Linked DNA regions of Oryzias latipes. The protein of the gene in region 1 purifies or fractionates together with the protein of each later gene. This does not show direct contact. Links are inferred from orthologs where the notes say so. Each region holds a gene or a part of one and is shown on either strand. Other genes may lie near its edges.

Evidence for each region. Proteins that work in one complex are often made in the same cells at the same time.
Region 2: the proteins of polr2l (region 1) and polr3e purify together in Homo sapiens (affinity purification with mass spectrometry; 4 studies listed by BioGRID and IntAct, with this or other methods). This does not show direct contact. The link is inferred for Oryzias latipes from reciprocal best matches to the Homo sapiens genes POLR2L and POLR3E.
Region 3: the proteins of polr2l (region 1) and polr3d purify together in Homo sapiens (affinity purification with mass spectrometry; 3 studies listed by BioGRID and IntAct, counting the BioPlex papers as one, with this or other methods). This does not show direct contact. The link is inferred for Oryzias latipes from reciprocal best matches to the Homo sapiens genes POLR2L and POLR3D.
Region 4: the proteins of polr2l (region 1) and polr3c purify together in Homo sapiens (co-immunoprecipitation; 3 studies listed by BioGRID and IntAct, with this or other methods). This does not show direct contact. The link is inferred for Oryzias latipes from reciprocal best matches to the Homo sapiens genes POLR2L and POLR3C.

Annotation. Positions count from the first base shown.
Region 1 is NC_019861.2:18,859,588-18,864,827, reverse strand, and holds polr2l (DNA-directed RNA polymerases I, II, and III subunit RPABC5), read left to right. Parts: upstream 1-2,348; 5' UTR 2,349-2,480; intron 2,481-2,921; exon of another isoform or gene 2,922-2,939; 5' UTR 2,940-2,948; coding exon 2,949-3,043; intron 3,044-3,324; coding exon 3,325-3,436; 3' UTR 3,437-3,575; downstream 3,576-5,240. Other genes in the region: cpsf7 (cleavage and polyadenylation specificity factor subunit 7), read right to left, coding at 4,754-4,973, 5,085-5,229. UniProt on the Homo sapiens protein: DNA-dependent RNA polymerase catalyzes the transcription of DNA into RNA using the four ribonucleoside triphosphates as substrates.
Region 2 is NC_019877.2:13,141,500-13,147,990, reverse strand, and holds the start of polr3e (DNA-directed RNA polymerase III subunit RPC5), read left to right. Parts: upstream 1-2,214; 5' UTR 2,215-2,282; exon of another isoform or gene 2,283-2,358; intron 2,359-2,414; exon of another isoform or gene 2,415-2,580; intron 2,581-3,302; 5' UTR 3,303-3,349; coding exon 3,350-3,388; intron 3,389-4,444; coding exon 4,445-4,495; intron 4,496-4,990; coding exon 4,991-5,068; intron 5,069-5,964; coding exon 5,965-6,080; intron 6,081-6,161; coding exon 6,162-6,244; intron 6,245-6,400; coding exon 6,401-6,491. UniProt on the Homo sapiens protein: DNA-dependent RNA polymerase catalyzes the transcription of DNA into RNA using the four ribonucleoside triphosphates as substrates.
Region 3 is NC_019867.2:17,410,120-17,416,483, reverse strand, and holds the start of polr3d (DNA-directed RNA polymerase III subunit RPC4), read left to right. Parts: upstream 1-2,087; 5' UTR 2,088-2,207; intron 2,208-4,134; 5' UTR 4,135-4,166; coding exon 4,167-4,331; intron 4,332-4,524; coding exon 4,525-4,568; intron 4,569-4,675; coding exon 4,676-4,830; intron 4,831-4,939; coding exon 4,940-5,064; intron 5,065-5,153; coding exon 5,154-5,313; intron 5,314-5,459; coding exon 5,460-5,707; intron 5,708-5,784; coding exon 5,785-5,937; intron 5,938-6,284; coding exon 6,285-6,364. UniProt on the Homo sapiens protein: DNA-dependent RNA polymerase catalyzes the transcription of DNA into RNA using the four ribonucleoside triphosphates as substrates.
Region 4 is NC_019874.2:18,839,471-18,845,836, forward strand, and holds the start of polr3c (DNA-directed RNA polymerase III subunit RPC3), read left to right. Parts: upstream 1-2,089; 5' UTR 2,090-2,208; intron 2,209-3,085; coding exon 3,086-3,232; intron 3,233-3,559; coding exon 3,560-3,824; intron 3,825-3,980; coding exon 3,981-4,270; intron 4,271-4,374; coding exon 4,375-4,479; intron 4,480-4,911; coding exon 4,912-5,085; intron 5,086-5,173; coding exon 5,174-5,225; intron 5,226-5,325; coding exon 5,326-5,386; intron 5,387-5,472; coding exon 5,473-5,623; intron 5,624-5,926; coding exon 5,927-6,028; intron 6,029-6,112; coding exon 6,113-6,162; intron 6,163-6,250; coding exon 6,251-6,366. Other genes in the region: E3 ubiquitin-protein ligase RNF115, read right to left, coding at 1,919-1,996. UniProt on the Homo sapiens protein: DNA-dependent RNA polymerase catalyzes the transcription of DNA into RNA using the four ribonucleoside triphosphates as substrates.

The DNA.
Region 1 (5,240 bases):
ACATCTGGTATGGAAAAACTGGCCTATCTCTGTTTGGAACTGTTTGCTTTTAAAGTATTTTAGTATTATTTTTGATTACTTTTTGGACAAGTCGGTTCTGTCACAGACACCAATATCAGTGAACATAGTTAGGCTGTTTGTGAGCTATAATGTGCACCACGCCTGAACCAAATTATCTAGTTCAGTTACAGTTTAGACTTCTGAATGCAGTTTAGAAGAGACTGAATTTCATAAAAGGTTAAACAAAAAAGAAACATTTGTACATTAAAATCAATATACTATTTTTTTTAAGACAAAACATAGAAGCATGCAGCATTTTAGGGATAGTATTTAATTGTTGGACTATTATTGTACACTTTGGGGGAAAAAAAGTTAAATTGTATTTTGAAGGAGACAAAAATAAGAGATGAAAAGCTCTACTGTAAAATGCTAAGAGGAATCATTAACATTTCATGCCATGCAAAATACAATCAGCCATCTCAGATCTGTCTGTTTACATTGTTGCTTAAGAGCCATTAGTGTTGCAGTATCAAGTTGCCAAAACATGTCTACTGGTTGTCTATCCCATGCAGTCTTATTGCCCGAAATATCACCTGTACAGCTCCACAAGCATGTCTGTTTAGCTTGAATTATAAAATTTGAGTTTCTGCTTTCATGAAAACAGGAAGAAGGAAGGCAGTGGTAACAAACACACACATAATTTAAGTTGTAGAGGAACTTCGATATTGCGCTCAGTTCTGACAGAAAATTATCATAAAACACTCACCACAGCCACCCCTTCCAACCCCTACCATGTCCAAGAAGATAGTAGCACCAAAGTAAATTTCACCTTACATTGTACAATATAGTGTACCAAAAAAAGAAAAGGAAAAATTCTTATTTTCATAATTTTAACAGCGTATAAATGCAATAATTCAGGTAGGACTATTCATTTAGCACATGTGCTGTAGCAAGTTAAATTGCATAGATGATGTAATAATGTTTGGTGTTGACGATGGCGATGTTGGTGACAATACATGATGCCAATGATGATGATAGTTATCATTGTGTCTGTTAGAATGATACGAAGGATATTTTATTATTCTATATTTTAACTGATTTTCATAATGCAGCCCGGCTTTTGTCCCCAAATGTCTAAATGTAAAAAAGGAAGAGTTTAAACTTCAGCCTCAATAAAAGAAGTGAACCAGTCTGAATTATTTTTTTAAATGCACAAGAATTATCAAAGCAATTATATTAGTAGAAATGTGAGTTTCAGTTAAATTTATGATCTTGTAAGTTCTACCCTGTGACAGACTGGCGACCTGTCCACAAGTGGTCGAGATAGGCTCCGGCAGCCCCGTGACCCCGAAAGGGAAAAACGGTTAAGAAAATGAATGAATGAATGAATCTTGTAAGTTCAAGAGAGTTTTAACATGGACTGCCAACAAATATAAAAAAGGAATTGGGTACCGGTACTTTTGAATACTGGTATGTTGAGAAATCTAGATGAGACTAAGGCTTAGATCAGATTTACATTTGATTTATGTTCACAACTTTTTTTTTCTGCAAATGAAAATAAGGAAAGACAGTTAAAGATTAGTTAATAAACAGCAACAGTTTCACAGAAAGTATTGGCTAATAAGCTATCCAAATGAAAATATTTAAACTTGAAAATGAAAGCTGTAGATCTACAGTCAAGATTAGAAAAAGAGGATTTTTTTGGGATTTGCATTTTATGCCAATTCCCAAATAAGGATTTTTTATTTTATTTTACTCACATGACTGTGGCAACATTAGAATGTTTTCTAAATTATTGCAGAGAAATCCTCAAATAACAAAAAGTAATATTTGCATATAGACAAATGTTGGTGAATACATATACCATATAAATGTAGTTGTTTCCTTATCATAGAACATGAATGTGTAGGTGATTTAAATTAAAGCATTTAATCATTGGACACATATGTCGTCTGGGATTAACTGGTATTATTACAGACCCACCCAGAGAGATGTGATTTTATTTTGGTTTGAGGAACAGATTTCTCAATATTTGAGGGCCGATGCAGGTTGTATTTAGACAATGTGCTACCTTCTTTAAAAAAAAAAAAATATATATATATATATATATATATATATATATATATATATATATATATATATATATATATATATATATATATAGTAAAAATGCAAATCGTACGCGTCAGTTTTTGTAACAAATACTTTTACGCGATAAAATAATTTTTTTGTTAAATCCTAAAGTTGTGTTTTACATACAGAAAATGAACACACAGCAGTTAAACTCAACAGCATTGTTTACCTAAATTTAGTGGTTTATTTAAATTAGTTTTATTTTGTAGGATCACATCCGGAAGCTCTGTATTACACCGGAAATGGTTATTTGAGCTGTGATGTTTATATCGTCAACGGTTAAACTTTGTCTCTACTATTATTACAAATAACGCTGTTTAAGTGTTGGACAAACTTGACCAATAAAGGTGAGTTAACAACTTCCTTTTTTAACGTAATGTTACTAATATTTTTATTTCATTTGTACCCGAGTTTGGGAAGCATGTGAACGACGGCGTGCTGCTAGGCTAGCTGCATGTACGCGGCTAGCGTTGGCCTTTCTTTTTGTTTTTTAAATCTCAGTAATTTAAACACAAGTTACTTAATTATATTATATCGTTTACAGAAATTGTAGCGCAAGATATTTGCGTTCATTTTAGTTACGACGTTCCTAAACAACGTGTTGGTACCTTCCTTTAGAAGTATTTGCTAGCATCATAAGCGGAATTATGTTGTAGGAACATGTGTAACATAATTACCCTTTCTCAGATATGACCATATTCATATTGGCATGTTTTTGTTTATTTAATTTTTTTTTATTATTGATTTGATTGTTGATTATATTATTTATTGTGGATTGAATATCTTAGTTTGGCTCCTTCTTCAAGCATCCAGAAATGATTATCCCGGTGAGGTGTTTCACTTGTGGGAAGATCGTGGGGAACAAATGGGAAGCCTACCTTGGTCTTCTTCAGGCCGAATACACTGAAGGGTGAGACAGATGCGCTTCATTTTCATTTTACCTTCATGTTTCGTTCGTTCAACAATGTGTCACCGTAATGCTATATGGTCAAGTTTTCTGAAACTAAATAAAGGCCTTCATTCAACCTCTACTCCTCCTGTTTCACTGTCAGTCAAGATGTTAGTTTGAATTCAGACCATTTGAGGATACAACATTTAAAACTAACTATAGAAATGTTTTTTTTTTTTTTTTCTGTAATTATGCAAGCAATATCTGGCACTAAAATTACTTTTCCATCTTCCCTTTTCTAGTGATGCTCTTGATGCCCTGGGCCTGAAGAGGTACTGCTGTCGGAGGATGCTGCTTTCCCATGTGGATCTTATTGAGAAATTGTTAAATTATGCACCGCTGGAAAAATTTTAGCTGGAAGAACATGCTTTGAACATGGCCTGTGCATATATTCAGTGTTTAAGAAATGTCAACAATAATGACTTGGTGTATTGTGCACATATGTGGCAATGAAAATTTTATTTAAATAAAGTTTTTTCTTTAAAGTATTCGATTCACTGAGTTGAGATGCCATCTAATTTTTGAGGCGTTGAGTTAAATCGCTCAACCTTTCACTTTATGTACTTATGAAAACATGCAAACAAATAATGTTATACTATTCAACAGCAGAGCACATAAGACGAGAATACTTTGGGATTTTTTTTAATTGTAGATTTTCTACCAAAAGAAATGTGAAATTACAATGATTACAGAAAGAATTGTTATGGTGCATGCAAACAAAGTCTTATTTTACAAGAAAAAATCTACAGCCAATTTTTGTTAAAACAAGTCCTATTATATAAAGGAAGAACAAAACCGTGTTCTCAGATTGAACAAACAATCCTTGATTCTTTTATATACAACTCGACGCAACAATGCTCCTCTGCCTCCAATCTGGGGAAGCAAGAACAAAACATCGTCATGGCGGTTGGAACTTTAACTCTTGAAGAGTTATAGTGAATGTGCAGAAGGTTTTCAGCAAATTACAATGCCACTTTGTTACCAACAATTAAAATGTTTACAACAATTTATTTATAATAGAGCATTTGGAAAAAGCAAACTCTCATAATGCCCTTTCAAGTTTTAAATTGGTCCAAAGCAAATTACAGATTTTTTTTAACAATCACACAGCACAACTGCTGTTGAGATGTGTAACTAAGATTCAGTTGTGATAAATAAAGCCATTTCAAACAGCAAAAAGAGCAGAATTCAGACAGTGGATTTGTTTTGATTAAATTATATAGAAAAAAGAATGTGGCTGGTGAATTGGCCTCCTGATTTTTTTTATAAATTACGCTCATAAAAGCGTGACTTAAAATAACTTGAAATCTCCCCTCTGCATTTTTCTGGTCACAATTGAAATAGCTGTATTGAAAAAAACTCTGGGTTTAAATAAATATTAATCGATTTCAAACTGATTTTCATCTTTGAGAAGCTGTTGTTGATAAATGAAATCCATAAGTGCTGTTTGCTATAAAGCAGTTTTTTCAAAGACAAAAACAATTTAATGTTAGAATTATTTTAATAAAATTCCAACTTTTCTCATTTTATTCAAATTAAAGCAAAAATGGCCACGCATAAAAGCGTTATTTACATCACTAGTTATGTGGAACTAAGAATTTTCCAGTGAAACTTAAAAAAGAAGTGCAAAATTCATAAAGTAATGGCTTATGTATTTATTACCGTTCCCCGTTAGCGGTGTCGATCCCTTTGCTGTTCTCGAGACCACCTCTTGTCCCTTTCTTCACTCCAGGAACGCTCCCTGCGTCTCTGGGACATTCCCGCACTTTCCCCGCTATGGAAGTAATCTCTGTCGCGATCTCTGTGCCGCTCTCTGTCGCGCTCCCGTTCTCTATCCCGCTCCCTCTCTCTGTCACGACCTCTTTCTTTTTCTCTAGAATGACTACTTCTTCTAGAGGGAAAAACCATTGAAATGGGAATAAAACTCATTAAACAGCAAATGTGTTATTAAATGGTTAGTTTCAAGTGAGTCAAAAGCATTCAAATGAAGAAATGTACACACCTGTAGCCATAATCCCCCTGAATGGAGACCAAACAGTCTTTAAGGGAGGTGACCAGGGCTTCACAGCGTTCATTTCCGTACACTCTGGACTGCTTAATAACTGCAATGGCGGTTAACAGTGTTTCCATGGCCATTTGTAGATCTCCTGGAGTAGCA
Region 2 (6,491 bases), on another chromosome or scaffold:
TTTAAAAATAAAGTTTGCATTGGTTTATATGAGCCATGCTTCCTTTGTGATCATTCCCTTCATTTGTAATTGAGTTATTTGTAGTTTCTGTGAGAAACAAAGCCACTTTTGAATTTTCTATAAAATCTCTCCTTTTCATCTTCCTCAATAAAACCAAAGCACACAAAAAAAAGTCATGGACTACATCCATAATTCTTCTGTTTTGCTCATCTTCTGGGACTCCAAAATCTTCAACAAACCATCTCAATCTGCTTGATTGATTTAATTTAGATTAGTTAAGTTTATGAATTTATAGCTGAGGTGCAACGATAGAAGATAAACTATGTAAAGGTTTTTATATTCCTGCTGACATCCTGAGGCCTTGATTGTTCTACTCTTCCTCCAGAGTGCACTGATTTAAAATATATTGATTGAAAAGTTGGATATTTTTCTGATTTCTCAGTTTATGAGCTTAAATCGCATATTTTCTTAGGCTGCATAATTTTTTCCTTTTTCTTTCTATCAAATCATAAACTAATTGAGTTGTGTTTATGTTCAGGTTAACAGCAGGAGTAAGTAAGAAAAATAATGACGACTCACCAAAATAGACCTACGGTATAACAAGAGAAGATTTCCTTTTTGCCTTGAATTGTTTAAACCTTTTATAGGAGTCCGTTAGCTGCTCCAGGATAATCCGGTTTGGCACAGGAAGTCTTTTATTTTAAAAGGAAAACATGCCAGCTTCTGTGAAAAGTAAAAAACAATTTCACATTTTGAGAAAACGCAAGTTTTTCTTTGAATCCGTTGTGCAATCCTAGGCACTTTAACATTGGGCGTTGGGTCATCTAGACCCCACAAGATTCTTCAATGATTTGTGATCTTCACTGGTGTCCATGGATTACATGAAATCCTCTTCACCTTTATCCACCTTTGTCATGGTAGGGAGAACACGTCAATGGTCATCTTGACCCCATAGGATAGCACAAGGGGTATTTGTGCTTTTTCAAGTCAAAAAATTAATATACCGGTAATTCATATTTATTACAAAAATAACAAAGTAATGAATGCAAAGCAAATATCAAATTTTCCTAAAGACTTTGTGGCTCCTACTACTCCAACACATAAAAGGTCAAATGGCTTTTTAAGTGTTGATGGTTGCAGACCTCTGCTTTAAACCAACAACATGGCTGCTCTCTCACCATCTTCTACACCTTTCCTTTCATTCTTGCTAACATTTTTCTTTTGTCTCACATCATACCTAAACCTTCCTCCACCCATTACAACCTGTCTGCATATGCCTCTACAACCAATCTGTTGTTCTAGACTGGAAATCCTCCCCATCTTCTGCAGCGGACCTTCAGTCCTCTCCTTTCCACGTCAAACCCCCACCTCTCTAGTTGTTCTTCCACTTCCTTTCTGCTTTCAATGCATGTCATTTGCAGACATCATGGTCCACAGAGATTTCTGTCTAACTTCATCTGTCAGTCTGTTCATCACCACACAAACAAGGAAGACCATCTCACCACTGCCTCACACCTCTCATACATGTCCAATTTCCATTGGCACCCTGTGGATGACTGTACCATTGGTGGTTGTTGTTACACCTTTGCCACGATTAGTATAAAATTTATTGTTGTAGTTTGCACGACTGTATTGACTTTGGTTTTACTGGGTGCCCTTCATGACACAACCCTTTGTATTTACAAACCATCTCACAATTCCCTGTTTAAAATTGAACCGTGTGTTTCACCATTGAACTGAACAAAATCGTGGAGAAAGTGAATTGTTGCATCTCGACTGGATACCACTAGGGTGACGTTGAGTGACAATGAGTTGTTTTAAATTTAACACAACTGATTGACACTCAATTGTGTTAAATGTAGGAAGTATTTATTGATTCTTTATTCTTTAAGTAAATTATACCAGTCTTAGTGTAACCCAGGTATAAAAGGTTTCTCTTCATTGGTACTTACCTATTTCCAAATAAAAAAAAAACTTTTCCGAATGTCTCGGTTCTTGTTGTTTCGTGATACACAATTCATATATACATATACGGCACGTATATATATATGTCCCATGTCCTTTAGCCGGACATGGGACAGGTAATGCGTCGTGCAGCCTTGTGGTTGCATTTATAATTGAACATGAATAGGCAGCGTTCAGCTGCCTATGGACTATGATGACACATTTTCCTTCGCAATGCATCACGGTAGCGTGGCCGAGCGGTCTAAGGCGCTGGATTAAGGCTCCAGTCTCTTCGGGGGCGTGGGTTCGAATCCCACCGCTGCCAAGAATTCTTTTTGGTACGTCGTTGTTTTTCCTCAACGCTTGATCTAACAGTTAAAGAAAACACATGCAGAACGAATTAGTGAATAAAAGGTAAGTTAAAGTAAATAGGTTATAAAGACACGTGACAGTGCTCAGTTCCGCAGTTTGGTCCGAATAGCATTATTTGCACGAGCACGTCCAACTCCCCACGTGTCTGTTGAAACAGCGTCAACATCATGGTACCTCAAGCCCGGTAGTTTGCTTCAAGTCTAGTAGTTCACTCATGGACTGTTCTTGAACGTGTTATATATTTAAACTGCAGGGGGTGAGCAGGTGAGGCCTCACGCTGTTTCTATGGGGATGCCACATGTCCAAAGTGCTAAATCTGATGTTTTGTCTTGTTTATCATAAATCTCTGATGTGTGTGTTAGCACGCTAAGCTACATTACTCTGGTTAGCTTAGCTACAGCCTACCTTCAGTTTTGGAATTTTCAGAAAACTCCACAGTTAAAAGTGTCGTTCGTCTCTGTCTACTTAAGCGCGTATTTGTAAAGAAATGTTATTTTGAGTGTCTCTGTTGTGGGGGCCTGTGGCTAGTAATTTAAAGAGCTGATGCTTGCTAGGCTAATGAAGCTAACGAAGCAAGAACTATCTGACTTTTCTGAACTGTGGGCCTGCAGAAAATTGTGTAACCAACATAAATCACAGATTGACAAGGATGCTGGACGTCGTTTGTATTTAGGGAAGTGAAAAACTTCAATTTTTTGGATGGTTGCGTACTATTACATCAGTTTCGCCGTGATGGGTCCGTGAAAGCATCATCTGACATGCTGCATCATCACAGATTAGTTTAGATCGCATATAGATACAGAAATGTAACTTGTTATACGTTTAACTACCAATGAAACACTTTTTTTTTTTTTTACAAATATAATGTACATCTGGATTACTAGGACTTCTGTTAAACCTTTCTGTTCTTTTGGATTACCTGCTGTAGCATATTAAAAGCAGTGTTAATCAATGACGGATTCTTGCTTTGCATTTATTTTGTCCAGGTTGAAGTCCTCTGATATATCACTGCTGCTCCCCTGATCCTATAGATATGGCCAGTGGAGATGAAGATGATCCAATTATAGAGGAGGTATGTTTACGTCTGGAATTTAAATAAAGTTTCAATCCTCTTCTGATCACTGCTATGCAGCAACTTTGAGCCATGAGAAATATGTATTTGAATGAATGAATTAAACTTTATTGATCTCAAAAATAAGGAAATGACCATGTTTATGGGTAAATGTAGTTCCCATTAAACTAGCATGTATTAGTGTTTGTTTTAAGCTAATTTGAAGACGTTTTTCTGTGGTCTGCGGTCGATTGAAAAACAATCCAACATGCTGTTGTCTAACAATTCATCTGTGTTTACACTGTGACCTTCTCTAAAGAGAATGGAAACTACTGACAGCCTCTGAAATCGGTCACATATTTACATTAAACAACATTAACAGTATTAGGCAAGTGGTTTGGTTTTTCCAAACGCATTTTAATTAGAGTGGTTAATTTTCACATACATGTCCTCCATCATCATAAAAAAAAAAAACAATTTTCATCAGAGTGTGGGTCATCAGTTTCTTTGGGAAACCCCCCCAAAAAAGAAGAGCCTCTGAGTTTTGCAGCATTTTTCCTATAACCTGATCTGCAGGATTGCATATTGAGCCATATGTACAAAAAGGAGTGCCGCTGCTTTGGGGTTTTCAACTGGAAATGTCTCCTTCAGTTTACACTTGGTGTGGGAGTTTTAGTGTGTAGATTAGCAGGTGGTTTGTACAAAATGCCCAAGGAAGCCTTTTGTGCCATTGTTTAAGAGAAGTTGTTGTGTTTAAGAGGCAGATGTATTCATAGGCAGAAAAACCTTTTTGGTATTGTTTATTAATATGTTTTCAAAAAAACTATTTTTTAATTGACTTTTTGTGTACTTATGTTTCATGCACTTTAGGAAGCAACGTTATGTATGTAAAGTGCTAAACAAATAATGTTTAGTTTAACAATTTTCTTATTTATTATGTTTTAAGACATTTTATTTAGATAACTACATGAATAGAAATGCAGTTAAGACTCATATAATATTACGTTGAAAACCTTGAAGCTCAGAGTCATTTGTGCAGAGTGGAAAAGTCTGATTTTCATTTGTGTGTTTCTGTAGATTGACGTGTACCTCGCCAAAAGCCTCGCAGATAAGCTCTATCTTTTCCAGGTAAGCATTTCCTTCATTATTGTGCCTGTTTTTATATTCTGCTTAAAACCTTTTACTTTCCTCATGGTCAATGCTTTTTATTTTTATTTTTTTATTTATTTTTTTTACTGTTAAATGGAAGTCAGTTGAATGTGTTAGTCACATAAATATACACATAAAAAGGAAAAATTGAATTCAAAATTATTATTCTTTTTCTGTTTTGAGAGCCACAAACATAATGAATAAGCATTTTTTCTGCCCTTTCAGATGTTTTGTTGAAAATGTGTAACTTGCACCAAACCCATTTCAATTATCTTGATTTTAATGAAATGTTTCTGTTAAAATTTGTTCTTCAAAATGTTCCTTTTTTAGTCATTTATTCCTTAAGCTTTTAATTATTTATCTTTAATAACAGATTAATAAAATAGTATTTTTTCTAAACTTTGATAGTTGAAAAAAAGCTCTCCTCTGGCTTGTTGTGTTGACTCATCGTTTAATCTTTCGTTTTTTGTGCAGTATCCTGTCCGGCCGGCTATTATGACCTATGACAAAGTCACTCATCTGGCGGCTAAGATCAAACCCAAACAACAGAGGGTGAACAAGCTCTAAACTCCAATTTTTTTTCATCTTCATGTGCTGTTTTGGTCATTACAGAAGTCCCACTCTTGTCATGTTTGCTCATATACATTTTTTTTCCAGTTTGATTTCTTGAAGTAGAGTCTTACTAACTCATTATCACGAGAATAAAAAGAACGGATTTCAGGACATAACAGAATTAAATTACATCTTCATCACGACTTTAAAATGAAATACCTCAAGAAAGCATTTTAAAAAGTAGATTATTATTGGAGACCACTAATTTTTCTGCTCAAATGGCTGTTTTCAAATTCATTTATGATCGACAACTAGATCACAACTAAAGTAATCCATTAAAGGTTAAAGATAAATCTATTTTTTTCCTAGATCTTCTCATATTTGTGACAAACTGTTAAGCGTTTCTATTAAACGTATCCTATGATGCCAAGAAAACAGAAAACCGTTTTCATCAGATTTTGACTTAATTACTTGTTTGCTCGAGAAAATGAGCTGTCATTTTGTTTCGTTACCTTAAGAAAGCAGTGTTTATCTCGCAACTTAAGTCGTTATCTCAAGAATATAGTCGTATAGTTTTGTTTTAACACTTTCTTCAGGTATACTTTAAACTTTCAATGCTCACATTTTCACTCATTTGTGGTCATCAGAAGAACTTTAGTGAATCTAAATGTATGACTTTCTCTAAACTGCTGCAGACTGGAAGCAACGTCTAAGTAAAATTTCACATATTTCTACGTCTCAGTTTATTTGAATATGAATCCAGTCGTTTTGTCCATAAACAACGACTTAACAAGTTAGTTTAATGTTGAGTGTTGAGTGTCAACATTTAAAGAAAGCTGGATTTTAGTTGAAGTTCATGTCAAGCTGTGTTTGCTGACCTGCACATGTTTGTCCAGGTGGAGGTGGACATATCCATGGACACCATGAGTCCAAACTACTGTCGCAGTAAAGGAGAACAAATAGCTCTCAATGTGGACGGCACAACCTACGATGAAACCACTACGTATTCCGCGTATGTCTCCTTTGGTTTTAATCGCCACACTGAAGCGCTTTGACACTTGTCTGAGTTCTTCATCCTTTTAATCCTCTTCAGGAAAATGATGGACAAACAGACCTTTACCTCCATCCAGGCCACCACCAACACCTCCAGATATGCAGCTGGTGTGTTCCGCAAAGGTCTGTCTCCATGCTCCACATGCTGCTTAAGTGACTCAATCTAAAGAATAACCTTTTTGAATTATTTAACAGTAAAATGCAAAATAATCCCCCATCAGACTCTGCAAAGCCAGATGAAAGTGTCATTTCCTGCTTGTGTTTTTCTGCCGCTAACAGGCGAGCTTCATGTCACTCCTCTGACGGGAATCTTGCAGTTGAGACCCAGCTTCTCTTATCTGGACAAGGCCGATAACAAAACCAGAGAGCG
Region 3 (6,364 bases), on another chromosome or scaffold:
GAAACACATAGCATAACCATCATGACATACTATGCTGGCTTTTCCAAAAAGATTAATCTCTCAGTATTTTCCTGAGGATTACATGGAACACCATCAAGACCTCAAAAAATATACATGGGCCAACTGTTATGCCATATGGCCTTACTCGACAGGGCTTCCTCCCCCAGCCTATCCCAGAGCGAGCGATACGACACTGTAAGTCCCAAGTAAGCAGATTTTTACCAGCACTCATTGTCAAAACGATGTTGTTGTTGTTGATTTTTTTTTCTCTTGTTGTTCCAGCCTCAAAGGACAACTCAGTGTAGGATTATTTTAAAGATTAAATAAAAGCTCTTTCAGATTTATGGACTAATCGGCTACTGAAAGAATTGATATAAACATGGGAAAGGGTCCAAAGTGAGAGTGTATTCTTTTCAACGACCTATATTACTTGTATTTCAGAAATGGCCATGGTGTGTTGCCATAATTCCACAGACAGTGTGCGGTACTGAAGAGTCTAATTTACTTTCAGTCAGCAGCAGAGAACTGATGCCCTCAGAATGTAATTAAACTGCAATCATCCATCATCAGTCATGGCAATTCCGACTGTTCATGAAATCCTTTCTGCTCTGGAGATGAGTACACACTTTTGTCTTTGAAGAGACCCATTGAAAAGGATACATTGACTCCTTCTGCTTGGCAAATTTTTCATTTTGTGTATATAGAACATAAAAAAACATACATTTTTCTTGCCAAGTTATTCTTAAAAGAAAAAAAATCGTCATTAAACTTGGAGTTTCAAACATCATCTAAACTCTATATCTTGAATTCCCCTTTAATATTTTCTCACACTAAACCATACTCTAATGACATGCAGCTCATAAAAAGGTAACCTAAACTTTCCCTGTTTGATCAAATTGATTTATTTAACTGCATCTATTTATATTTTTCACATATTAAAAACAAATATTTTCTTTGCACTCTGAAGGCCTATTGGATGTTTCCTTTAACAGATTATTTGTATTATTACTATATCACACAGTAGGAACATTCATTACTTATATCACAAACTCTATTTTAATTCCTTAAAAATGTAAAGATGTGAGTTTCCATTTAGAGTTTATATTAGATTTAATCTGTTTAACTGCATGGAAATATTTAATCTTACTGTTTTATTTAACTGCATGCAGTTGTTTGCATAAGGTAGCAAATGGATAGTTCAGTTGGCTCTGTGTAGGACTGGATCATGGGAAACCAGGATCCGCTTCCCAGGGGCCACAATGAACTTGATGCAGTGTGGGCCCTTAGGCAAGACCCTTTGTTGTACTGCGTAACTATGCAGCCACAAGGGGGCCCAAGTCTAGGTTCCCCTGTGCCGGTCCCCAGCTAGGATAAAATACAGGGTTGTGTCAGGAAGATCATCTGGCGCAAAAATCTCTGCAAAGCTACCTGTGAGAATCAGGGAAAGCTGATTCGCTGTCGAGACCCCAGAAGGAATATGCTGAAAGGCGAGAAATATAAAAGCGTGAATGTTGCATAAGACTATTTTGCTGTAAGACAGAAAATAACCAAGGAAACAAGTGCCCAAACAAATGAAATATTTATTATTATTATTATTATTATTATTATTATTATTATTATTATTATTATTATTATTATTATTATTATTATTATTATTATTATTGTTAGTAGTAGTAGTAATATAATCAGTTCCCTTAGCATGTCAGAGGAAAATAACATCTTTAGAAAAAAAAAATTTCCAATCTCGAAATATGCCATATCTTTTGGTTCTTCACATCTGAGACATTTATTTCAAAACATTCAATAACATTAATCCATGCAAAAGATTTTTATGAATCTGACAAAACTTGCAGGAAAACTAATGCACGATATGTCAGAACTCAAAATATAATTTTCATTTAGCTGTTTTAGGAAACATTTGGAAAGACTAGTATAATCGTTTATCTAATCTTATCTTTTTTATGACAGTGAATTTTTTTGGACTGTGGATTCTGAAATAAAACATAAAAATAAAACAAAATAATGTTTCTAAGCATGCGCGTTTTTCTGCGCATGTTTGATCCTCGAGAGCAAGTTGAAGCCAAAGCGGAAGTGTCATGGCGCCGCTAGTGAATGCAGCGGTGGACGAGGCAACAGGATTTTGTTTCTGATATCTGGCAGGTTTTAGGGGGGAAAACTCCGAATAAGGACCACCGAGGACGTGTCGTGTAAGTTTTTGGAGAACTGCAATATGTTAAGACTTCCTCTGGACAGCTTTCGCGTTGTTTGTGATCTATCTTACTAGCCACGTGTTTCTGTAACATTTTTCTTCATTCATCGTATGTAAATACTGGTTGTGTATTTAAATCACTGACAAATATCATTGTAAACACAATTTATTCTCAATGCTTAGACTCGAAAGTTTAAGAAATCATTCCTAATTAATGTCTTGAATTGCTTACGTTCAGAACCACAACAGAGTAAAAAAGATAAAAAGAAAAAGGTTACAGAACGGACTGAAAGTATATTTTTGTTTATCCCGGTATTATTACAAATTACATTAATGTAAACCTCAATAACATTAATTTTAGGTATGGGGTCTAATGATTAATTAATAAAGTGACACATCAAAACAGATTTTGTGGCTGAAACAAGTTGATAATGGATTCAAATCGAACTGTACCATTATAAAATCCTTTCAAAATTATATTAAATTGATAATCGATCTTGGAAAGTACCATTCAGATACATGCTTGGTTTTTTAACTATAGCGTAAAAACGACGTGATGGTGATGTTAGCAAAGAAATGTCAAAGCATCATTCCATTGCAATGTGTGGAAAAACAATTAATTTAGAAAAGACATGTGACCATAATCACAATAGTGTTCAGAAAAACAGCAGAAATCATTGATCGATTTTCTGGTCTTGTTACAAACTAACCAACCTCCAGCTGGCACAGAAACATGCCCTCTTGACTGTGAAGGAATTGAGCGTCCCCGCACAACAAATCAAACATACCCTGTAAGACGCGCATGCTCAATGTGTTTGTTTAGGGAAATAACAGAATTCTTTTTTTTAATTGGACAATTGCAACATACAGAACAAGAGAATGCAACAATTATGCACATATAATGTACAGTAGAATAAACGTGTTACAACATTAAGAAAATTTTAATTATTAGAAGCAATCACAAAAGGCAATAACAAATAAAAATAAATAAATAAAATAAAACTAAACAAAGAAAAAAATAAAATAAAGTTAAAAAAAAATAATAATAAAAAGAGAAAATACGAGAGTAAACTTATATCAGTAGTCCAAAAAATTTACAAATTTCAATTGTTTTTTGAGCTTTTGTATTTTTTGAAGATGAAATTAAGTTTAAATATTGCTGCAGTTCAAGTGACAGAATTTGTGGACATGAAGGGAGGGACACGCAAATCCCCTTTTGTAGCGATGATAAGACACTAAAAATCTTTTCTTTATCTTTTTGCTAATTTTAGTGTCACGTGCTGTTGAGCATTGCTAATTTTCTTGCAAAGATGTATTACAAAAACAAGTGCGTTGATCTTATTTTGCGAGATAACAGCTGGTTCTTTTAAATTTTGGCATAGGGGCCAAAAAAACAAAACAAAAGAACTTCTAGCCTGTAGCTTTACTTTGAAATCCAATGATTGGCGACACACGAGGATGAGGGGCCATAAATAAACGTCACAGCTGAGATCACCTGGTCAGAACACAGTACTTTCTCAGGAAGTTGAGGCAGGCCCTCTTCTTTCAGGAACTGCTGGTCAGGTTTTATAAGGCCAACAATGAGGGTTCAGTTCTAGTGCCGCGCTGTCTGAAGGCACAACAGAGGACAGGAAGACCGTGCAGGAAGTAGTAAGAACAGAGGGGAGGGGGATAGGAAGTGCACTACCAGACTGATTGGGAAAGAGTTGTATTTGGAAAGATGCCACACACCCTGGACATTACGTAACTGTTTTAAAGGCACACGCCAACAGAATCCAGAGTAGTGTTTCACCTGGCAGTAAAATGTGTGCAACCTCCTCATAAAGACATTTGAAAACAATTTTTATGTAATATTTGTGTATTTTCCTTTTAAACATCACCATTGTCTGAGAGAGATGATGATGAGTATTATTGTTGGCCACCAGGTTGGGAGTTTGACATCCCTTTAAAGTTCAGGATGGCGGACTCCGGGGAGTCCAGCAGTCAACGCGTTCCCACTCCTGCAGGCGCCAGCAGCAGCAATGTAGGACTCCAGATGGGGCGTCGACCACCAGCTGGACTCTCTCCTGGACGCCTCCCTTCCATGCGGTCAAGGGACCTCACCCTGGGAGGAGTGAAGAAGGTTAGCATCATACCTCACTCGCCATTTAATCTTTGGGTTAGGAATTGTGTTAGATGAGTTAATCACACCAGATATATTAAGAAACCCTTCTGTAGCTTCTTTTGCCCTACTTGCAATCATGATTTTTTTTTTCTAGATTTCAAAAATAAACAGCTTTTCTTATTACTCATTTATCTTTTTTTTAATTTTATAGAAAACCTTCACACCCAACATCATTGGCCGAAAGGTTAAAGAGGAGTAAGTTGATTTTATTTCTAGGATTGAAAAATGCAGTGAAGAACAAATAAAATTCGTGTAAACTGAAGCTTTAACTGTTTTAAAAAAAAAATTTTTGGTTGCAACAGAGCCAAAGTTGAGACTGATCAAAGGAGAGATCGGAGAGGTGGAGAACGTGGTCGAGGGCCGAGAGACAGAGGCAGGGGCCGAGGTCGCCAAGAGATCATCCAGTCCCATTCTATCTTTGAGCAGGGGCCGGCCGAGATGATGATGAAAAGGAGAGGTGGGGGGCCAGCAGGACTAGCATATGCAGTTTGCTGCTGCAGCTGAACTGCCATTTTTAAAGTTTCAAATGATTTATCCCCCCCCCCCCCCCCCCCCCCCCCTCATAGGTGGATATGAAAGCGAAAGAGATGCTCCAAGCATGGGGCCTTCACCCATCATTAACATTAAAAAGGAGAAGAGGGAGACTGAAGAGGAGACGAAGGAAATTCTGCGCAAGCTGGAGCGGGACAATGTACGTCCATCCTTCTCTTAGTTACAACCATCACAGACTTTCACCAAAAGGCATTTCTCTCTTTTTTTTTCTCGTTCCCCTTCTTGCAGTTTATTGATGACCCCTTCCTAAAGAGTGAGCAGAGGAGTTGCCCTGTCCAGCTCCCCCTTTCTGTGTCAGGATGGGGATTTAGGGAGGAGTTTAGTAAATCTACTGTCAAACTTGAGAAGTCAGAAGAGGGGGATGATCCCATGGAGTCTGGAGTCGTTGGTAACTACAGAAACTTTTATCTGTACAGCTCATTTCTGGCAGTTTTTATAGTTACCCAAAACAGGAAATTGTGTGCATTCATAATATCTGTATTTGAAGTGGCCTTTTTTTTTTGTTATTAAAACGCCACATTATCCTGTCTGCAGTGAAACAAGAGCCAGAGGAAGTGGAGATACAGAAGAGTGAGGCAACATTTAGACCTCCTCCCCTTCCTGAGCCTGAAGTTCTTCCTGATCTGCTTCATAAGTGGAGTCTAAACAAAGGAGAGGAGCTGTTTTTCATTCAGCTGCCTGACTCTCTTCCTGGTCAGCCTCCCACCAAGGAGCACAGACCTGTGAGGACAGAGGTGCAGTCCGAGGATGGACAGTCCGTGCTTCTGAAAACAGAGTCCCAGGTAGGTTTCAGGTGTTCACCTTTCAACTCATGCGATCACATGTGGAAATAGTAATTTAACTGTTTTTCCAACAACAGGAAGAGGAAGCTGAGGACAACAGTTGTAATTTGAAGGATCTGCGAGAGGGTTTGGTGGGAAAGATGCTGGTGCGGAAGTCTGGACGAGTGCAGCTGATACTAGGACAGGTGACACTTGATGTGTCATTAGGAGCGTCGTGCTCTTTCTTACAGGTACTATTGGACTGTACACCTACGAATTCAAGTGCGCACCAAAACAAAACAGCTTTTAGGCATGAAAAATATGCATGCTAATCTATTTCAGAGAATGTGCAAGCTGTAATTATCAGTAAAAGCAAAATATTTTGCTGATGCCATTCAAGAGAAGCTGGATTTTTGGATGCATCACAAAAAATTTGTCCAGAAAAAAAAATTGAAAATGGAGCTTCGTCGTGCTGTTAAACACTTATAATCAATATGACTCTTGCTGCTAATTAGCTGCTAATACCAACATAAATATATTTAATGACATAATTTTTAAGCCCCAACATGCGTTTTTTCCCCTCACTTTTGTCTTTCAGGAGCTGGTATCCATTAATCCAGAGGGGAAAAGCGGAACTCTGACTGTACTTGGAAATATCAAGCACAAAATGGTTTGCTC
Region 4 (6,366 bases), on another chromosome or scaffold:
TTTGGGCTTGTGTTTTATTAATGTAAAATACAACACATATCGTGATACTTCAAAGGATAATTGTTAAGAAAAATGTATGATGTTTTTTTTTTTTTGATTGGCTGATTAAAAGCATAAATAATGACTTTCATTTAGTGTTTCAACATATGAATGCAACCAAAGAGGTACGGCTGGTCTGCCAACCACACCTTAGGGGGAGGGCGTTCAAAACCAGCATGACAGCTTGGAGCAAACACAACCAGCAAGCAGCCTTTGCAGCAGGATGGATCATATGTTGTCCTCTCATTTAAAGATAGAGCTTTTCACTCAGGGGAACAGGATTGAGGTCACTTAGCATAAAAACAAAGTTGTAAGCCATTACGGCAACACCTGAAGTACAATACTTGTAGCATTAAAAAGTGGGTCACAACAATAATGTCTTTTTAGATTGTAGTTCACTCGATTTGGAGTGCTAAATATACAAATGAAATTCACAAATGTTCTTAAGGTTGAATTGAAAAAAAAAGTGACTATGAATTACAGAAATTATTTTGGTCAAAGCCTTTGAATTCAGATTTACTCACAAAACTCACACAATTACTTGTAATAAATAAATGTTATGTATTGTTTTGTTGATTTTTATAATTTACTTTATATTTCAGGTTTAAAAAATGTTTGATATTATCTTTGCAGTTGCTTGATCCAACACAGAAAAAGAAAATCACAAAGAGACAAGTGAGTAAATCCAGAATTAGTGACCAATTATCTGAAATTTAAAAATAATGGGGAGGCAATAGTCACAGCTCTGTTTCCAGTTTACTGGTCGATTAAACAAATAGACGTTTGGATGTTTATTTTTACTTTATGGCACAGTAAATCACAGAACCCTCCATCTCTGTATCAGTCTAACAGATTGCTTCTAAGAAGCTAACAGGTTGCACTTTTTAATTTAAACTTTCAGTCAAAATCTAGACACAACATAAAGCAGTGTTTCCTAAAATTCGGGTTATATAACAAAATTCATTTACTCAATACATCAGCCAGTTATAAGCTAAATTTATAAAACATGTAAGAGAACACATTCATGTTAGAAATTCAGATATTTCTGGTATTTATTTTAACCTGTCCAAATTTTTTCTTGTCCAAAATGAAATACTATAATCATTATCATCAACAAAATAACTTATATTTCAATGATTGAAAAATGTGTGTCAATTTTTATTTATTTACCAAGGAACATTTGTTTCAAAAACACAAAACGGAGTCAACAAGAGAAAAAAAACTACAAATAAAAAAACAAACACTTACAGTTAGTTAAATGTTTTTGTAAAAACGTAGGAATGTCCTTTTAAATAAATGGCCTTTTAAAGAATATTTGTAAAATAGTAATAGTAGGCCATTTAAACGCCTCTTCTGCCGACATTGTTACGTTTGACTTTAACACTAAAACTGAAAGTAAACCACAACGTATGACATCTACAGAAAACTTCCCCTGCTTATACTGCCACTGCTGTTAACAGAAACAAAAACTAAATGTGTATATATACTGAAAAGGAAAATCTGAGTGACAGTTTATGAATAAATAAACTCTCAGATTAATTCGGGCTGTTTTGTTCAAAAACATGCATCTATCATTTACCACCAAGCACACAACTTCTACCTTGAAGCACAGAGATTAGCGTAAGTATTTTAAAACAGGCACGAATAACAAGACCTACTATCGTTAGTTTTAAGAGTAGCTTAGTTTCCCCTAAAACGACTAACCGGAGTTTCTTTACTGACTTAACAACAACAAACACTGCTATATGCTAATAGCCTATGGGCTTAGCTGTAGCAAGAAGTAGCCGAAACAAACAGCTACCTGCCGGAAGGCAGACTTGTCAGCCGCGCATAACACTCAACATAAAATGAGCGAATAACCAAAAATAACGCGACTTACCGGGAGTTTGGGATTTACTTCTCCCTTACAACAGTGACAGAAAAACCGATGCGAGGGAACAGCCGCAGCCTCCGCCATCTTCCCGGAGCAGCACAAACACTGACGTCGGTCCTCCACTAGCTGAAGGGAGCTGTCCGCCCCCAGCCCGGCATGCACTGCGGCACTGTTGTCGAATCACAGCAAGCAAAAAACCGGGAGCGGAAGTGTCTGTTTGTTGTCATCGACTAGCCTCATGCGCTAAACTATCTGCACGGAGTCTGCTTTCATTGCGAGATCTGAAATCGAAAAAGGTTTGTGAAAAAAAAAAAATGCCAGGCTTATACCATCAAATATTCAGAGATAATTTAGTAAATTCCCAGCATGCAATTGTAATTTTACTATCCAAAAGCCCAAGGGGGAAAGAACTTGAACAACTGTTGACTTTTCAAATTAGAAGAGATAGTTTACATGCACTGTATGCTATAAGGGAAACTACTTAATGACCGATCTAACTTTTTATTTTTAGATTTTACCTGTTGGAATAAGTGGTGCCTGTTTTAACAAAGTAAAATACTATTATTGTTGTTTGTAGTTCGTAAACTAGATGTATAGAGATAACATAACTAAAAAAAGTGCTGTTTATTGAAAAACTAAACTGAACTAAAATAAAATTGATTTATTGTTTATATTGGTTCATGTTGAACGATCAAATCCGATCCGATTCACTGATCTAAAATCGATCCAGAACATCTTTAGCCAAGAATTCAACCAGTGGGACTCAGAAAATAAATACCTGGATTCTGAACAGTGCAGGGGAAGTTTTCCACATTCCCTGTATTTTTTTGCAACATAATTAAGTGTAAATTAAACATGTTTACAAACAAACAAGTAAAAAAGAATGAATGGACAGTTTTACCTACATTTTGCTGCCATTCGATGTGTTGTCTGTTTTAACGTTATAGTTAGAAAAAAAGCCTACTGTGCCTTAATCCAAATGGTATTTTCCAATATTGATAATAATTGATTTATTTCCTTTTAAAATTAATTCATATTGGTATAGTTTGATTCGATTAACATCTTGCCTCAGATGGATGAATCGATTCATCTTTACAGCCTACTAAAAGCACATGCATTAGTTCTTATTATTAACTTAGTGGTTTTCATTGAACTGTTGGTGTGTTTGTGCAGATGACAGCCCAGGAGGTCCGTCTGTGTGGTCTTCTGCTGCAGGAGCACTTTGGAGAAGTGGTGGAGAAAGTGGGAAGAAATCTGCTCAAAAGTGGAACGCAAAATTTAAGAGCCATTGTTCATGAAACTGGCTTGTCAGTGGATCTGGTAGGTCAACGCAAGACTGAGATTGCATTCGCTGTAGTCAGATGTTCTTTGAAAAATAATCAAAATTATTCATTATTTGAATTATTATTCAAAGCAAACGGTCACATATATTACTATGTCCCTTGCAATATGGCAAAAGTTAGTTCTTTAAAGATATTTGAACAATAAGAGAAACAAAATTATAATGTAATTATTCAGGTAATATATATTCATATTTGAAAACAGTTTTACCTGAAACTGATTGCTTATCAGTTTTTTGTCAATACAATACAGTGATGTCTGGTAATGTTCATGTACTTTAACAGGACTTCTTCTTCTTTCATCAAGGTAAAGAAGTCTCTGTGCGTTCTTGTGCAACATGGAGCCTGTTCGTTTATTCAAGGTCGAAAAGGACCGGGGAGCCCGACGGAATACAAAGCCCACTGCGATCGGGTACTGAGAATTCTGCGCTACCCACGTTACATATACACAGCCAAAACGCTGTACGGCGACACCGGTGAGCTTATCATAGAGGAGCTGCTGCAGAGGGGCCACATGACGATGAGCAACACAGTTAAGACAGTCGCAGACCGTCTAACTCAGAGTATGGACGGTGAGCATCAGAATCAAACAAAAGACTGTCCATAAAAGAGATGATCTGTTTTCTGAAGGTTTTTTTTTCAGTTAAGCTTTGGATTGAGGCCTAAAATATCGCGATCAGTAGATTCATTTTCTAATGAATACTTCCTTTGATGTTTTGTTGATACAGAGGGGTCGAGCATGGATTATGGTGAAGTGTCCGCCACCTTTTCCAAACTGGTAGAGACTCATTTTCTCCAGCGCTGTCCCCCAGCAGCAGGAGCAGGAACGACAGGGAGCAGTCAGACTGCCAATTCGACTTCTGCAGCTCCTGCCAGCAGCACTGCACCCACACCGGAAAGCTTCCCCGACTGCTACAGGGTTCCTCAAGTGACACTCATAGGCCGGAGCAAACGCTCGCTCGCCAGCGAGGAAGGAGAGGACCAAAGAAATGCGAAAAAAGCGAAAATGGACCCAGAGGTCAGAGAGACGTTTGTTAAAGCAAGATGTTCACTGCATATGCTAAGACTTCTATGGTTGTGACTTCTGTTTGTCTTCTCATAACTTGGATCTTTGGTGCTCAGACTCATGGGGATGAGGGGATTTACTGGCAGGTGAACTTTGAACGGTTCCACCAGCATTTCCGGGATCAGACTATCATCAGTGCTGTCGCCAACAAACTAGATCAGGTGGGAATTCCACAAAACATTTCAAACTAACCATTTTTTTTATTCATTAAAAGAAAAACAGGTTTTGAAAAATAATTGCCTAGAAAAAAAAACCCAAATACATTTCCTCAGTGTATAATTATTTGATGGTTAAAAGTAAAAATGAATAGTATTTGAAAACCCTCTTTGTATGGCTGAAGGAATTTAGCATAAGCATTTGGTTGTTTGATAAGACTATCTGACTTTGAAGTATTGACCTTAAAATCAAAGAAAATTCAAATTTTAAATGAAATAAAGTGATAGTTTTTGGAAGTACTCCTAATAATTCCTCTTTTTTCTTGGATTGTTCTCTGTGCTTTAAATACTACAGCTTTTTACATTTATTTCATTATTAATTATTTATTATTATTATTTATTATTAACTAGCTGTCTTCTCACATCTTTCCTACCCAGACCAGCAGTGAAATAGTGAGAACCATGCTGAGGATGAGTGAGGTGACAACCTCTTCCACTGCCCCGTGCACAAAACCCCTTTCAGCCAATGAGATCTTCAGGTCCCTCCCAGCTACTTACAACATCCCCCGCCATATATTGGACCAGTACCTCACTCTGCTGGTGGATGACCCTGTAGGTCCTCCTCATCTCAAATATCTCTCTGATTTTTGCTTGGCTCCCCACAAAATGCTCAAAAAGTTTCCCACTTTTCCTTCCTAAGATGGAGTTTGTGGGGAAGGCTGGGGAAAGTGGAGGAGGAATGTATATTGTCAGTATCCTTTCTGCTCACTTGAAGGTTCAAACCATCCCACAGGTGTGCGTGTCATTCGCTACTAAACCCAAAACAAAAGCTTTCCCTAACTTTTCTGTCAGATCTGAACCAAGCATTGGCTAACCTGGCACGGGCCACCCTGGAGTCCATCGTACAAGAGAGGTACACCAGTGTGTGTGTTTGCTCTCCACACATACGGTTGCTATTGGGCTCCCATTGTTAATAAGATACCTTTTATTCATCCTCAGATTTGGCTCCAGATCAGCGCGCATCTTCCGCCTGTTGCTACGGAAACGTCATCTGGAGCAGAAGCAAGTGGAGGATTTCGCCATGATTCCAGCAAAAGAGGCTAAAGACATGTTGTACACTCTGCTCTCACAGAACCTGGTCCAGCTTCAGGTACGTGGATGTAAAATGGGTTTAAAGAAGGAACTGGATGAAAAGTTTACGATTTGTTTTAATCATACACCTGGATCTATCCTAAGACTAATTTTTTAACCTGGTGGTGAATTTTAAACATCTGAGCTGAAGTTATTTAATCCAAAACAGCATTGTTCTGTTTACCAATGTATATAGATTTATTTAAAAATACATGTGTTGAGTTCTCAAAGTTTGAACCAAGCAGCCATAGTTCTAGTTTTTTCTTTTTTTAGTACAATTTTTATTATCTGTAATTATCTCTTTTTTAAATGTATCCTCCAGGAAATCCCCAAAACACCAGACTTTGCTCCCTCTCGGACCTTCTATCTTTATACCGTCAACCAGCTGCCTACTGCGAGATTGCTGCTACAGAACTGTTACAAGGTGAGTCTGAAAACAAACTGGGAGCTTTAGAAAGCTGGATGGAGAGCCACAGGTGTATTATTTCATGCCTGCTTTCCTCTCCAGACAGTGGCCAACCTTATGGAGCGGCGGCTGTTTGAGGCCAAAGAAAGCAAGTGGGTCTTTGAATCATATTTTTCCTTGAAGTTTTACAAGAATGCAGGTACTGCTATGCGCCAAATGTGAATTATGTTTGTTTTTTAGGCGCCTTCTGGAGAAATCGCAACGAATCGAAGCTATTTTGGCGTCTCTGCAGGCCAGCGGGGCCGAACCCGAACAGCTCACTGAAGTGGAAGAAATGATCACCGCTCCTGAAAAGC